2 linked regions of the Yarrowia lipolytica genome follow. The protein of the gene in region 2 interacts with the protein of the main gene of each other region in a pairwise test. Links are inferred from orthologs where the notes say so. Each region holds a gene or a part of one and is shown on either strand. Other genes may lie near its edges.

Region 1 (7,704 bases), on a different chromosome or scaffold from region 2:
TGGATGTACTGTGAACTGGAAGGGATGGCTTGTGGACAATGCAGCCGCCGAGACAGGAAACGTGTCGCGGACTGGCGTTTTCCTTTGTGTGGTCTCTGGTATGTTGTATCGTAGCTTAGGCAGAATGAAATCGCGTGGCGAAGGCGACCCCAGTGGCTGTGGCTGTGGATTTTCTTCTGAGTGACGGCAGTTAACCACCTCAGAGGTCGGGACAACGGGCATCAAGAGCAGCTTCTTTTCGTTGTATGTGTCATGCTCATAGCACCGAGACTTTTGTTCCGGAGTCTGTGTAGTCATGTTTTCAGTGTCTAGGGACACATGTCGGTGGGACTGAGGCTACTCGACTTGCAGTGTGTGTATTTAGAATATGATCTGGTTGGATTAGCTGCTGCCATGGTAACCACTTCAAAATATTAAATACGAGTACAAGTAGCATGACGTACTGGTACAGTATGTACGAGTACGAGTATATATACTGTACCCTTACATACTGAACTGCTGCCTGTCAGGCTGTATGCGTCAAAAAATACGGGAGTGGATGAAGCACTGTATTGTAGATATAATACAGCCGCTGGCGCAGCTTTGTGTATTTCTCCTCTCAATATGACGGAATTCCCCGGCCCAGTCCTGTTCCGGAAGAGGTTCAAAAATGGGTTAATGGTTGCACCATCCCCACACTGACAGGACAAGAAACCACATGCAGTAAAAAAAAAAAGCCAGCCGCACGTACCATTGGGCACGGATCGAGTATGTGTTCCCCCAAAAACTAGCACTGCGCAATTTCTACGGTTCTGCTGTACTACTTGTAGGGCTGTCAGTACGCATACAGCTGGCCTGCAGTAGACACGTCAACTCTGATGTGGTGGCTAGCAACAAGCAGAAGCTGGAGAAACGGAATTTACTCTATCATGAGTTATGCTACAAGTAACTACAAGTGGACTACTGTAGACTACCACCAGACTATCAGATGTAATGCGACATGAGTCAGTTGACAGGGTGCACATATCTGTTTCTGCCTGTGAGCCATGTCGTGTAGTTTACTAAACGAGATGCCTGTACATGCTCAAGGTATTATGCAGGGCGTATCTTCAGCCATGTTGAGTTCACTCACATCCAGTTGACCAAAAGCACTCGACAGATCGGGGTACACACTTGCAATATTAATTTTATAGTTTGTGCGACCCTGAGACTCCCTCAGCGTGTCCGCGAAGTTTGAGACACACATTCTTCGCTTTTGGATTTTCCCCCTTGGGTATATCCGCCGATGCAGAATGTGTGTTGGGCATTGCCGTCGCACGCCATGCCTCAGGGTTAGATCTGCACTTAATGACATTAGACAGCTACGCGTTCCTGGACTTACGACGACTGTGGTGCTGAAAATTTCTACTTTTCAATAGTACGAGTTGTGCCAGTAGACTGAGGCTATTTTTTGTTCTAGCGAACAGTCAACATCTGGACTAACGACGTTGGTTGTGTGGAGGAGCGGAGCGGAGGAGCCAACCACTTGGCGCATTCGGAGCGTGGTTCAAGCTCATAAAACATTCGCACGCCCACAAATTTCTAGGCGATTAATTTAATAAGATAAGATACAAGCAGTCGTACAAATAGTCTGTTGATAGAGAAGTGGGCTGTGTATCTTCCACGCAACCCAAGACAGCAGTATGTACAGTACAAGTAGTAAGTGGTTTCAACATCAAGCGCTCCAAATGGACAGATTGAACTCCAGGGCAGCCATGGAGCGGCGGCATATACGCGCCAGCCAAGTGCAGGATATATACTGACAGGCAGGTCCTGTTTCGATGAAACTTCCAGCAGCTGCAGCCTGCGCATCACCCCCTGTCGTACGCGTCTGGAATGGTCTTCAAGCCGGGTAACTATATATAGATTTCTCAGCTACTGCTGCTGCTGCTGGGACTCGGGTTAAGTTCGAGACAGAAGTGCAGACGTGGCGAATATAGGGTGATACGACTGTCACGAACCCAACGACACAAAAGACAAGGCGGCTAGAGCAGCTTATGTGTGGCTTATTGCCTTAAAGGGCTAGTTTGGACGAAAGATCCCTTTAATATATCTTTACAAGGGTTGTAAATGGACAGAATAACGCCAGCACCCTGTTGAGAGCGACCTAAATCCGTCATGGTCAGAACTTCAGAAGGTACTCCGCACTAAGGTTTGCTTGTTTGCTGGCATTGTGAAAAGCCAAAAAATGGTAAAGTAGCGGACGCGTGTCTCCACACGTTCTTCCTTCTTATACTCCTACACTTCGCTTCATATACACACATTTCACTCACCACACATACACAACATGGTACGAAACAGTGTGCGAGTGACCCGATTCGCCATTCTGGCGGTCGTGCTCATGTTCCTGCTCTACAAGCTGAGCTCCTCGTCCGTGGACATCAGCGGCATGGTATCCAACAGGACCAAGCCCGATCTGAACGAGTTCAAGACGGAGGTTGAGGAGACCAAGGACACAGTCGTCGAGCATGCCAAGGAGGCTGCCAATGACGTCAAGGAGGGCGCCGCGAAGGCCGTCGACTCCGCCCACAAGGTCGTGAACGCTGCCCCCTCTAAGTTCCAGCCCCTTACCGACTACCAGCGAGAGAACGCCACCTTTGTGACCCTGGCTCGAAACAGTGATCTGTGGGAACTGGTCGGATCTATCCGACAGGTCGAGGACCGATTCAACCACCAGTTTGCATACGACTGGGTTTTCCTTAACGACGCCGAGTTTTCCGATGAATTCAAGAAGGTGACCACCGCCATGTGCTCAGGTAAGACCCACTATGGTAAGATTGGCGAGGAGCACTGGGGATTCCCCGATTTCATTGATCAGGAGCGAGCTGCTCGAACCAGAGAGGAGATGCGACAGAAGCAGGTCATCTACGGTGACTCCATTCCCTACCGACATATGTGCCGATACGAGTCCGGCTTCTTCTGGCGACACCCTATCATGAACCAGTTCAAGTACTACTGGCGAGTCGAGCCCTCCATCAAGCTGCACTGTGACGTCAACTATGATGTGTTCAAGTTCATGCGAGAGAACAATAAGTCCTACGGTTTCACCATTTCTCTGTTTGAGTACGGCGCCACCATTGAGACTCTGTGGGAGACCACCAAGAAGTACATGCACCAGTTCCCCCAGATGGTCCACCCCAACAACCTGATGAAGTTCATTTCCGACGATAACGGAGAGACCTACAACAAGTGCCATTTCTGGTCCAACTTTGAGGTTGCTGACCTTGATCTGTGGCGAGGAGAGGCTTACTCCTCCTACTTTGACTACCTTGACCACGCTGGTGGATTTTTCTACGAGCGATGGGGTGATGCCCCTGTTCACTCCATTGGTGCTGCTCTGTTCGCCGACAAGGACTCTATCCACTACTTCGAGGACATTGGATACTTCCACAACCCTTTCAACAACTGTCCCACCACCGAGAAGATGCGACTGGATGGTCGGTGCATGTGCCAGGCCAGCGATAACTTCTCTTGGCACTCCTACTCTTGCACTGGCAAGTTCTTCGATGCTCAGGGCATGACCCGACCCGAGGGATGGGAGAAGCAGAAAAACTAAAAAGAGAAGGCTAGAGAGCGTTAACAGTAATTGCACTGGTTGTAGTTAATAGTTGAGAATTTTATTATATATAAAATAAGTGCGACAATTGTACGAGTACAAGTAATGGTGGCTGTGGATGAGCTACTTGTGATAGTAGCTACTTGTAAAAGAATCAATCGATTACATACGACCTTGTCGATTCTATTTTCTTTCAATTCTAGGGAGATACATTTCGTTCCAAAAATGCATGTGAACCGCTCGTTGTGTCATACAAATTGTACTTGTACTTGCTTATAGTATCGCGGTTGTTATAGTATGGTTTTGGGACATACACAGCCTAATTTGCATCTCTTAGCAGTCATTGAATTATGCCTAAGGAAAAAGATCACCGACAGGTAAATACCTCATCTAGTGACTTGATTTTTAATACTTCTCCCTTTTTAATCCCCTCCCTTCGCCTTTCAATAGCTCCAAGTAGCTACAAATAGTCCAACTCACGACAACTACAAGTAGCTTCACTCTGACTTCGTCGCCAATATAGTTTCATTGGGAACTGCAAGCGTGTCATCTGTCTTCACCACTCTCATCAAAGCATCTCAACACACACAACAAATGGCCATCCAATATCTGCTGTTGCTATCGCGTCAGGGCAAGGTTCGTCTGGCCAAATGGTTCACAACTCTCGGCACCCGTGAAAAGGCCAAGATCGTCAAGGAGGTTACTGCACTGGTTCTTTCCAGACGAACAAAGATGTGCAATGTCATTGAACACAAGGGTGAGTAAGATAAGGAGGACGTGACTGCGTTGGCTCGATGACTTACCAAGCGCGAGTTGGTTCACTTCTTGCTGAGCCACCGTCAGAAATTCTTCCAAGAAGAGTACCTCTACGAAACACCTCATCCACAATGAGTGCTGTGGCTTAGTTCATTGTGCTGTGAAGTGGCAAGAAGAGCGCTGCAGAGCTACACTTTCTTGGGGTCGGTAAAAATGGCTCACTGATCGCCGAGGTGTCTGATACCGAGCTATCGGAAACATTACAGCAGTAGTGACGACGCGAGAGAGAAAAGGAGCTGTGCGGCAGATGACGACAAGACTACACGACCCGTCAGAAGACTGCACAAAAGGAGTGGACAAATAAGTCACTTTGTATTGTTGATTCAATACTGCGGCAGTCTCCCAGTCCAGTGGGCAATGTTGTGTCCTCAGTGATGCACCACCACGAAAAAAGACTAACACAGAAACCAAGGTTGTTTTCAGACGTTATGCATCGCTATTTTTCATTACAGGCATCGACTCCGATGACAACGAACTAAACACTCTCGAAATCATTCACAGATACGTTGAGCAGATGGACAAGTATTACGGCAACGTGTGCGAGCTCGATATCATCTTCAACTTCCAAAAAGCATACTACATTCTCGACGAGATTGTGGTCGGAGGAGAGATCCAGGAGTCGTCGAAGCGAGAGGTTCTTAGACGAATCTCTCAGCAGGATGCTCTGGAGGCAGCCGAAAACGAGGAGGAGGGTCTGTCGAGACTATTGGCATAATTTGGGACTTTTAGAACATATGGGGTCGCGAGGTAGAATGAATGTACTCATACTAATACATGAGATGTATGTAGACAAATGGACAAATGAGTTTGGGAGCAGTCAGTTGCTCTGAAGCTCATAATATCGTCTCGGTCTCACAAATACAGTAGATTTACCCCTTTGTGTGTGTATGTGGTGAAGACCAAGTTACATAATCGGGTTAGGGTAGGACCCAAATACGGTGATTGCCGTGTTGTTAAATTACATCACAGTGCCTGTGAGAGGCACAAGTATCAAAATTGCGAGTTTCCGGTCAATTGGTCTATTAGTATTCGTCATCTATATATAATTTGCTTACTGGATGGTATGGGTGGCCTCAGCCTCCTTGAGAGTGAGCTTTCCGGAGTAGATCTCGTCGACTCGCTTGTTGATATCAGCGAAGGAGTGGAAGATGTTGTAAGGCAGAGACATCTTCTCGAGGTAGACAATCAGATCCTTGCCAGCCTTGGCGAACAGCAGATCTGTCTCCCTTGCGGCAGAGAGATCAGAGACACCGTCACCACAGTAGAACATGGTGGGTCGCTTGCCCTCGGGGAGCTCGGCGTAGGGCTTGATGCATCGGGACTTGTCGTGGCCAAAATGCGACTCGTCTCGGTAGACAATGTTCCACTCTCCATCAGGCTCGATCTTCACATCGTTAGCGATGATCTCAATGTCATCTGCGGCCTCCTCTCCAACCAGCTTCTTGAGCAGAGCAAAGATGACGGGCTTCATACCAGATGAAACCACGACCACGGGAATATTTCGTTCCTTGCACCACTTGTAGAAGACGGCAAACCCGGGATCGAGGTCAATGTTATTGAGAAGCTGCTCGATACACTCGGGGAAGGGGGTCTTGACGGAATCCAACATGATCTTGAAGGCCTCGGAGAAGGACATTCGCTCGTGGAGGATCTCTGCGTTGTAGAACTTTCGCTTCTCGACTCCAAAGCCGAGATTGTCGGTGAGCCAGTCGTTGGAGTCCTGCAGAGTAATGGTTCCATCCCAGTCGGAAAAGACAATGGCCTTGGGGTTGGTGGCCATTGCGGGAGTACCGTTGATTGTAGAAGTGGCAGTCATTGTGTGTGTGTTGATGAAGAGTGTCTTGTGCAACAGAGAAGAGTATATAAATAAGAGGAGTTGCTACATATATATCAGGAGCCCGACAAGCACTATTGAACCTTGTTCCATATGGAGTTTATGCGTGTTCGGGAGAAGGGCGAAGAAGATGACACGTGGATCGGGGCTGTTGACGTGGGATTTTGTAAGTGACGTTGGTGTGGTTGAAATATATAGTCATTAGTATCACCATCAAATATGTTTTGTGATTCCGTCCCGTTCTTCTCATACTCAACATCCCTTCTAATTACTTCCGTGGACCCAACGTAATAATGCAAGAGGCACAACTGCAGGAGTTTTTAAGGGCCTGTGAGGGAAATAGACGTACTCGTACAGTAGATGGGGTCATAGAAGTTTACGCCGGGAAATGGGCATGGCTGACTGGTGTCCGATGCACTCGCGCCCATTGTGTCAAATCAACACTTGTCCCTCGACTTCTACCAGCTCAATGCACCACCGGCTCATGTACTACGGACATCGCATGTTCAACGGTCAGGACGCTTGACCACAGATGCGACCTCAATTCATAGTATGTACAACCGTTGGTCATACCATTACACGTGAGCTTATTACTCCATGGTTTACGTGTTGCAAGTGGCGTTCAACTTTCGATTTTCAAAAGACAGCCATTGGTGTCTTTTTGGGCCATGGTATTGGCGGAGAGCTTTGACACTTCGGATATAGCTCAGAGTTAGATTCGGCATGACCTGCATATTGAGCATAATTAAGATGTGCCAGGTCTACTGTATGCCAGTGTCTGTGGATGTACGGGCTTTTTAAGGGGCTCAGATGAATTCGGGCAAAAAGCCCAAAAGCGCCGCACCGGGATATTCATGCAGTTGTATTGTACTTACTTGTGTGCACAATTGTTTAGCTCTGTTAATTCCCGCAGCAGTGCCTTTTGGTCATAGATTGGCTTTCCATCCTCATCGACTTCCCTCTCCTCCATCTGGATAACATTGATGTCGTGATCTTCGAGTTCCTTCAGACACACGGGTGGAAGAACATAAGGCGACATAACGTGAGTCAGGAATCGGGTCCAATCGCAGTCGGAAATCTCCTGGGCCGTGCACTCACGTTGAAGTTTAGAGTACAGACAGGCCTTGACCACTGCCTCCACATGCTCAACAGCGCTCATGCCGTTGGTCTCACGATCAGGAGAGCCATTTAGAAGCATAACCTTGGTCTTGGTCAGTCCGTTTTCTAGCTTTGTTTCAATAGAGTCAGCCACGCCTCTCAAGAGTAGAACAGGAATCAGGGATGTGTACAGAGATCCAATGGAATAAATAACACAGTTTGATTCTGCAAGGGCACGCTGGACACGAGTGCTGGCCTTTGGGTGGATCTCTAATCCAAATGGGTTGATGTAAAACACTCTTCTAATGGGCGACTCCAATGGGACCTGATAGCTTTTCGAAAAGTTAAGCTGTGAGTTTGTGAGATCTGGGTGAGTGAACGG
Region 2 (8,034 bases):
AAGTCGTGCTTACCGAAGATGTTGGATACACTGTCGGGCACGTAGTCGTCAGGGATCTCCGAATAGGTCGAATGCACCTTGGTATCGAGACCTGATGTGGCATCTCCAGGGTCCTGTTCCTTCATTTTGATCTTAAGACGGGTCTGAGGCACCTTCTCGTATGTCTCATCGTCGGAATATGAATCGTTGGAGTCGGAGAAGGAGTCACTGTCGAGATTGACGTCGTCAAACCGACGTTTAGAAGCGTCTCGCTTGGATCTGAGCATTGTGGATGTTGTTAAGTGGTGGGTGCTGTTGGGGTTGCTGTTATGTGATGTTGATGATGCTTGAGAATGCAATTAGTGATGTAATTTTTAGTGTATGAAGATGTGAAATTGGTCTCTGTGTGAAACTTGCTGCTTTATTTCGTCTGTCTGTGTAGCCTGTGAATCAGTGTCAATGGGGTATGAATACGTTGTTTCGCCACTGTCGACCAGTGTACACTCCAGTCTGAACACAGTTACCTGCACGCTGATTCCAATATGCAAGCTGGGAGGAGTTAGGGCTTTTTAAAGTTTGGAAGATTTTCCAACACTATAAAAGGGCTTTCATGTTCCATCTTACTTCTTCTTTAACCATGACACCACTATAGACAGTACTGACTGGATAGGTGGGAAACGTTGGATGTGGAGGCCGGAGGAGCTACCGTTCTGGTAGAGACGAAGGAAGCTGCAGCCAGTTCGCGTGGCCAACCGTTGAAAATAACTTTCAAGTGATTTCTCGGTGTCTAGAGGAACCCGGGCTTTTTAAGAACTTCTTGGAGCTTTTGCTTTGAACAAGGGGTGTCAGAGAAGTCCAACATCTTTTTATATAATCGTGGTACTGTTACTGTAGCCCTTATGGCTGGTCGTTCCAATTTGAGTCAGAATCTTGATGTCTGAGTCACTTTGGTATCAGAGCACGAAGAATTCATCACATCACCAGTGTGTACAGTACACATACTTGTACGCTCAGCGAGAGCTACAAAATACGTACTGTACAAGAATGCGGTACGCTTGGAAGATGTTCTTCTCATTGTGGTTTGAAAGAGCTGCTTCACATTGACTTATTGCAAGAAGTTGATGCGAGGCACGTCTATTCAGCATCTTTTGTTCCATAACTGTCATTGTCAAGTGACGTTGAACTAGTTTGTTATCGATGGTTGAAGGTGACTCCCATATGTTTTGCATTAGCAAATAAGTTGCAAAACAAAACAAAACAAAGGCAATAACTTTCCCTTCGCATTCTATCTACACAATCAATCTATTTAAACGCCCATCCACCTCTTTAATTAGCTAGTACTTGTAGTACACTTCCACACCTTTTACTCATCAATCTGGTTCCCCATGAACCCTGATTCACTTACGCTCACACTGCATAGGCGGCGATTGCTCAAGCAGGTCTTCCTCTGTCTGTCTTAATCTTTCATCACAACCATGTCTTCCAAGCGTGCCGTCAAAACCATTGTTTCCTCTATTCAGAAGCTCTACCCTCGAGCTCTCGCAGACTCCTCTTGGGACAACACCGGCCTACTACTGGAATGCCCTCTGGACACCGAACCTGAGAAGGAGAAGCTCAATGTGCTGCTCACCATCGATCTGACAACCTCTGTTGTCGACGAGGCTATCCGAAACAACTCCGGAGTTGTTATGGCCTATCACCCTTTTATTTTCCGAGGCCTCAAGTCTATCACCCAGTCGGACTCCCAGCAGCGATCTCTGCTGCGACTTGCCCGGGCTGGCATCTCTGTCTACTGCCCCCATACTGCCGTTGACGCTGCCGTTGGAGGTGTCAATGACTTCCTGATCGACGTAGTCTCTCTCGGAAAGGAGAACGAGGCCTCCCGGGAGGTCTGCCAGCCCGTAGATGGCGTCCAGGGACAGGAGGGTGCTGGCATGGGCCGAGTGGTGCGTCTCAAGGAACCCATTACCTTCTCCGAGCTGCTGAAGCGAGTTAAGACCGGTCTGGGACTCAAACATGTCCAGGTTGCCCTTACCGAAAAGCACGAGAACCCTGAGGCTAAGATCTCTTCCGTGGCCGTCTGTGCAGGTTCTGGAGCCTCTGTTCTGCGAGGTGTTGATGCAGACGTGCATTTCACTGGCGAGCTTGGCCACCACGAGGCCCTAGGTCTCATTGAAAACGGTACCTCTGCCATTGTCTGCGGTCACTCCAACACCGAGAGAGGCTACCTCAAGACTTTCCAGACTCTGCTGACCAAGGAGCTCAAGAACCAGCACGACGGGGAGGTTGAGGTCATCATCTCTCAGACCGACAAGGACCCTCTCGAAATTGTCTAAGGGGATTGTCTACAAAAAAGGGGATGTATATAGTATCGAACGAATGGATGATGGAGTATTGAACGATGTAAGATGTGAGTACTGTACTGTAGTTATCGTCCGTTTCAATACTGAATTGCAGTGATTAGAGGGTTCTGAGCAGTGTATAAAATCTACTCTTTTGCAATAATTACAATGATTACTATATATTCTCTAATATCGTAGTGTACCTTTGCAGCTCCATCAGCATACAGTCATAAAATACATACTAACGTCACCGATATGCGTTGCTATCCTCTACCAAGTAGTATGTAATTTGCAAAATAGCTAAGCATGCCCATACTTTACACACCATCAATCCTCCTGGTACAAGTAGTACGGACACCCATGCCCATACTTTGTTATCCCTGCTTGCTTTACTTCGTAGTTGAAAACAACCGGAGAGCTGTCTTCCCTCATGCAGCACTTGTCACGTTTATGCCAATCGTATGGTGTAGTCCTCTCCACTAGTGGTAATGTATCGAACCCAAGGGTAAGAAGTGTACTGCAGCTTCGGCTCGACAATCTTCAGATATCGAACCTGAATACCCGAGGTAGTAAAGTAAGGAATGGAGAACTTGACTTGGATGGGTCTCTTGCTCTTAGCCTGCTCATCAGCGTCCTGAACGGAGGGAAGACCCAACTCCGCTCGCATGGAGAATTCTCGTCCTCCTCCAAACTGCTTGATCTTCCACGTGACACATGCCTTCTCAGGGTGCCACTTGATGGAACCTGCGGTAGCAGCCAGCTTAGGCGAATCGGCATCTTCGGGAACAGGAATGTGGATTTCGACGTTGTTGGCCGTCGATCGCTTCTTGAATTGGCCACGGGCCTTAGCCAGAATCTCAATACGCGTGTTGGAGTACTTGTTGATCTTGCAGTCAACCCAAATCAGCGGCTTGACGGTGGTGTTGAGGCGGTAGCTCATGAGCTCAAACTGGCCATCCGGAGGGATGAACGAAATAGTTCTATCGTTCTCAAATCGCGAAAGTCGCACACACTGGTGGAACTTGACGTCCTCCATCTCGATGCTCTTTCCTCGAGATGCACGAGCAGATCCGCCCGATCCGCCTCCCCCAGCACCGGTGTTGCTCACATGGTCAAACAGCACCTTGTCGTTAAGTCCCAGTCGCAGTTCAGGCATACCAGAGAGGTAACATTTCATCTGGACAGAGCCGAGAACCTCAGAACGCAGAACCTGGCCCGAAGGAGACATCAGCAAGTTGACAGCCTCAACAACATCCAAAAATGCCTCGTTCTTTCGGTACTTGATGCCTTCGGAACGCCAAGACACGGCGTTCGTGACAGCCATAGGGGGTCTTGGTTGCTCTTTTGGCACCTGGGCGATTTCCATGGCGATTTCGAGAATGTGGGACTTTTGGGTGATGTACTCCTTGAGGATCTTTGTGTCGGTGGTCTGTGGGAAACCGTAGTCCATCAGCTCGTCCAACAGCTCGTAGATGAGCACAAAGTTGTCTCTGATTGACTCCTCCTCTAGACCCTTGAAGTATTCTGTCAGCACCTGGACGACCCGATGCAAAAACAGCAGAATCTCGGCGGCATTAGTGTTGCGCTTCGTCAGAGCCAGCAGGTACAGGTTGTTGTGGGTAATGTACAGGTAGTTGACTCCCTCATGGGTGAAACACGGAGGGACGACAGGTGACTCCTCCTCGGCCTGCAGAAGCAGCATGGGGAACTTGTCGACAGCCGACATAGGGATGTCGCCGCGGTAGTTTCGCGATAACAGAGGCTTTCCCTTGAGGTCCAGGAAGAAAATTGCCGACGCCATTGTGTGCTGTGTGGTGTTGTAGTGAATGTGGTGATACGTGTGAGTTTTGACGTGGAGGTAATTTTGAATCACGTGATGCACACTTTGGAGAGAGCGTAGTTGGGTGGTGCGAGGAGATGGAAAAGTGAATGTTGGTGGAATTAATAAAGAGGGGCCTGCGGTGTCTTTGGTGTTGTTCTTTGACTAAATATGAGGGGGCCTACACGTTGGATGAGTGTGCTGTTTTCTACACGGATTATCGTTTTTCATCTTTGGGCTTGGGAATGTGGCAGTGTCCGGGTTGGGAGATCCTGACTAAGAGAGATTATGAGGAGGGCATAAGGGATAGGTTCAAGAATGATTGCATTGATATCATCGTAGCTCGCTGTGTGATATCATTGACTCAATTGCTTCAATGTAAATTGCAGCAGTCCCTGGAGATATGCCAATGTGGGTACTATGAGACCGCACCGAAGAGATTTTAAGTACTCGTACTTTTATATGCCACCAAACGGAGACACTAGAGAGCTCGCATTGGATACAAAATAAGATCCTACTTGTACAAGTACAGTATGTACACTACAGTACCGGAAGTTGTTTCGTAACACTGCACACTGACAACGAGATGCTTACTTGTCTTCTCTGCGCGTGTATTTCCTTGGGTAAGGTTCTGAAGGGAGGACGCTTCAGAGATGCAGGCGCTACAGTAGGCCAAGTTACACTGCTCTATCACCACATTTCAATGACTCCTTGACATGTCTGATCTGACTAACCTGCTGGCCGAGTTGTCGCGTGTGCAACCTGCAAACAGTACGCCTTTCTTTACTCAGAAGGACCCACTGAAAATCACCACCTATGCCGATGCTCTCAAATACACAGTCCATGAACTCACGAAACGGCCTGAGTTTCTGACTGAGGTGAAACGGCTGATGATAGAGCAGCAGAGACGACTGGCCCAGCTCGAGAAGGAATACAATGAGATCGATGCGAAAATAGAGGCCCAGAAACGTGACTTTGAGAAAGTCGACAACATCCTAGCATCAGTAGGAATCGGAGGAGGAGGGGGGGGATCCAAAAACAAGAAGCCACCCACGAGGGAGGAAGCCGAAAAGGCATTCCATGCACATGCCCACAAGACGCTGACAAACATGTACGATTACATCTACAGGCGTTTTGAGGAGCTGAAGATCCCTTTGTTCTACACTAGTCCTGAAGCCAAGGCAAGAGGAGGAAAGCGAGTGAGAGAGGGCCAGAAGGAGCTAGTTGAGTTTCTCGAGATTTTAGTTGAGTAAAAGAGGTATTCGTTAAAGAAAGATGCAGAAAAAAAAAGAAAAAGATGCGTGAATGCAAGCATACCAAGCTTACAATGATCAATAATGACCAATGCCCACACATCTGTCAGCTGCTGAACTGCAACTGGGAACAAAGGAACTCGTACTTGAACGACAGCCAGAACTATTATAGAGGTGGAAGCATTAAAAAAAACCACACTCAACTCCCTGGTCCAGACTGCATGATCCTGGCGCAACTTACACCAGTCCCGCCCCATAAATGGCTTTACGTAGGAGTGAGTTTCATAGGAGACAAGAGTCAGTAAGTAAGAGGTTTATCGACACAGCTTGGCCCATTGCAAGACAACCGCGTAAGTCAACTGACTGAAAAAATTCTATAGACTTCCCCATACACACTCATCTTCTATTGTCTCATCTGGGCAACGTGCCAAGACAACGGTCATGCAGGGAAGCTAAGAAGGGCTGAAATAAATCTAGATGGTGTGTGTAAGTGGCGTGGAAAGCGACGTCCTAGGATTTGAGAATTGAGCATAAAGTCTTCGGTGCAAGAGGGGTGATCGAGGTGAGCTTGTAGGGTTACATTCGGAAGAAAAGCCGTGCGATGGTATTCATAGAGAGACGCTGCAAGTAAAGTCCGAGAAAGGGATGGGGAAGAGGGTCGTATCCAGGTAAGTAAAAGAAACAACAATAAGCTGGTAACACCAAAAGACAACAACTAGTACAAGAGACACCGAACGATATTCTGTACTGACATGTTCCTCAATTACGCTCCATGCTCAATACGTTGCAAGTAGAAGATTTACTGTAGAGTGGAACTACTGTGAGCTGTAACGATAAGTTTGAGCGAAGAAGACGAGAGTAGAATATTTTTGTCGGTTATGTACCGGTACGACTTAGCAATTGTTGTACAAAGTAAGTATATCCCCTCATTGCTCTAGGCATGGTGTTGGAGACTGAGCTGCTCCATATTATGCCAAGTCAACATGGCTTCGATATTGGTGGGACGGTGGTTGGGCCACAAGGAATAACTAATCGAGCAACGGTCCGTCATAAGCACTCAATATTGACCTATTGTATGCACTGTACTACAAGTAGAAGCCTGGTGACTGACCATCAAAATTTTCCATGCTTATTGCTAATTTCAATCTGTAGACTCCATTTGGTTCGGACGACAGATAGGGACCCCCACTGGCCTTGCAAAAGTATGTCACTTGCAAGCCGAAGCTTCAGAGCGCGGAAGAGAGCACCAATAACCACTGGGGTTAAAATCTTCGCTCCCCATGCCGATCTACTTGTAGCTGCACTTTACTCCCTATCCCACTCTGTGATTCAAGACTTGCATGATATGACTACTGTACAAGGCACAGGTTGTAATATCGGGACTGAACTTGGAGGCGTTGCTATGAGCTTGTCGCAATAGTGACATGCGTTCATAGCAATTCGAGGCGGTAAAAGTACCGCTCTAGACTACGATACAATATTTATAGCGTCCACAACTTTCATTTTATACTAGCGCCCTGAAAGAGTTGCGAAGTACAGTATCGTACTTGTACAGTAGCCGCGAGAGAAAAAAGACACGATGGTGGATAGGCAAGCCAAGCCGCTACTAACTTTGCTACAGCAGATACGATGCGCCAGTGTGTACAACCGAGGGTGGAAGGAGACGAGAATGCTTCCTCTTTGTCAACACGGAAATACCATCCAGGCGAGGGTAGAGTTGATAGACCCTAACGGTCAAAGTTTTGCATAGGCCAACGGAAAGAATTTTACAGTACGTGCTCGTACTTGTATGCGGATCATAGAGCAAGACTATTTATTGTACGAATCAACGAGATTTATCACTTACAAAATTTTCACCGTCGTCGTCTCGATTTCTCCCAACTTTACGGTCTCTTTCAGGACATCTTCATCATGCGTAATTTCGCAACACCTGGCAAATGGCTCTGCCGGTGTGATAGAGTTGGCTTTCGGCAAAGCCAAGACGGGAATATTGAATGTAAATGGGACAAAATGGGAGTACGTATGTGACAGAAGCAAAGGGGGATGAAACAGAATCGAAAAAACTCCACAAGAATATAGCGAACATCCCGTATTCTTTACATGACATCATCGTTAGCATGTTCATACATACGTGTATGCAGAACGTTCAGCCCGCTTAAGTTGGCACTATTGCGAACCAACACACTTTCTGTGAGGGAAGACTGCAAACGTAGAGAGGCATGGACGTTTGCGAGCGAATAAAATAGGCAAAATCAACAGCTAACTGAAGGGAAAGCCTACTAGCGATAAAACAGACCAATCTAAGATATATCACGTCTTCATCTACCGCAGAACGTCTCGCCTAGTGCCGCAACTTGACACCTCAGAATTTGACCCACCAATAGAAAACTCCCAAGAGCTATATTTCGTTGCAGAAACTGTCTGCGGAATTGGCTTTGACTTCGGCACGGCTCTGGGTTGATGAGGGGTCTACGACGAGTAATCGTTGCCACAAAGTGATAATACTAGTTCTGTACAATAATCCCCGTTTGTAGGGTATTTCAATTAGTTTCAACCCGTCGATATGAGCAATATTAGTCTCTATTATCACCTGCAAACTTCCAAGAGACCCACATTGTTTGACTTCGATAAACTTCGATAA

Evidence for each region.
Region 1: the proteins of YALI1_B15482g (region 2) and YALI1_D36137g interact in binary tests that used the Saccharomyces cerevisiae proteins (3 or more experiments, as listed by UniProt). The link is inferred for Yarrowia lipolytica from reciprocal best matches to the Saccharomyces cerevisiae genes APM1 and APS1.

The regions. Positions count from the first base shown.
Region 1 is NC_090773.1:3,610,690-3,618,393, reverse strand, and holds YALI1_D36137g (uncharacterized protein), read left to right. Parts: upstream 1-4,168; coding exon 4,169-4,331; intron 4,332-4,794; coding exon 4,795-5,105; downstream 5,106-7,704. Other genes in the region: YALI1_D36182g (uncharacterized protein), read right to left, coding at 1-297; YALI1_D36161g (uncharacterized protein), read left to right, coding at 2,306-3,574; YALI1_D36122g (uncharacterized protein), read right to left, coding at 5,442-6,206; YALI1_D36100g (uncharacterized protein), read right to left, coding at 7,096-7,704. UniProt on the Saccharomyces cerevisiae protein: Component of the adapter complexes which link clathrin to receptors in coated vesicles. Clathrin-associated protein complexes are believed to interact with the cytoplasmic tails of membrane proteins, leading to their selection and concentration.
Region 2 is NC_090771.1:1,544,355-1,552,388, reverse strand, and holds YALI1_B15482g (uncharacterized protein), read right to left. Parts: upstream 4,123-8,034; coding exon 2,770-4,122; downstream 1-2,769. Other genes in the region: YALI1_B15521g (uncharacterized protein), read right to left, coding at 1-266; YALI1_B15509g (uncharacterized protein), read left to right, coding at 1,455-2,315; YALI1_B15475g (uncharacterized protein), read left to right, coding at 4,857-5,393; YALI1_B15460g (uncharacterized protein), read left to right, coding at 6,334-6,813. UniProt on the Saccharomyces cerevisiae protein: Component of the adaptor complexes which link clathrin to receptors in coated vesicles. Clathrin-associated protein complexes are believed to interact with the cytoplasmic tails of membrane proteins, leading to their selection and concentration.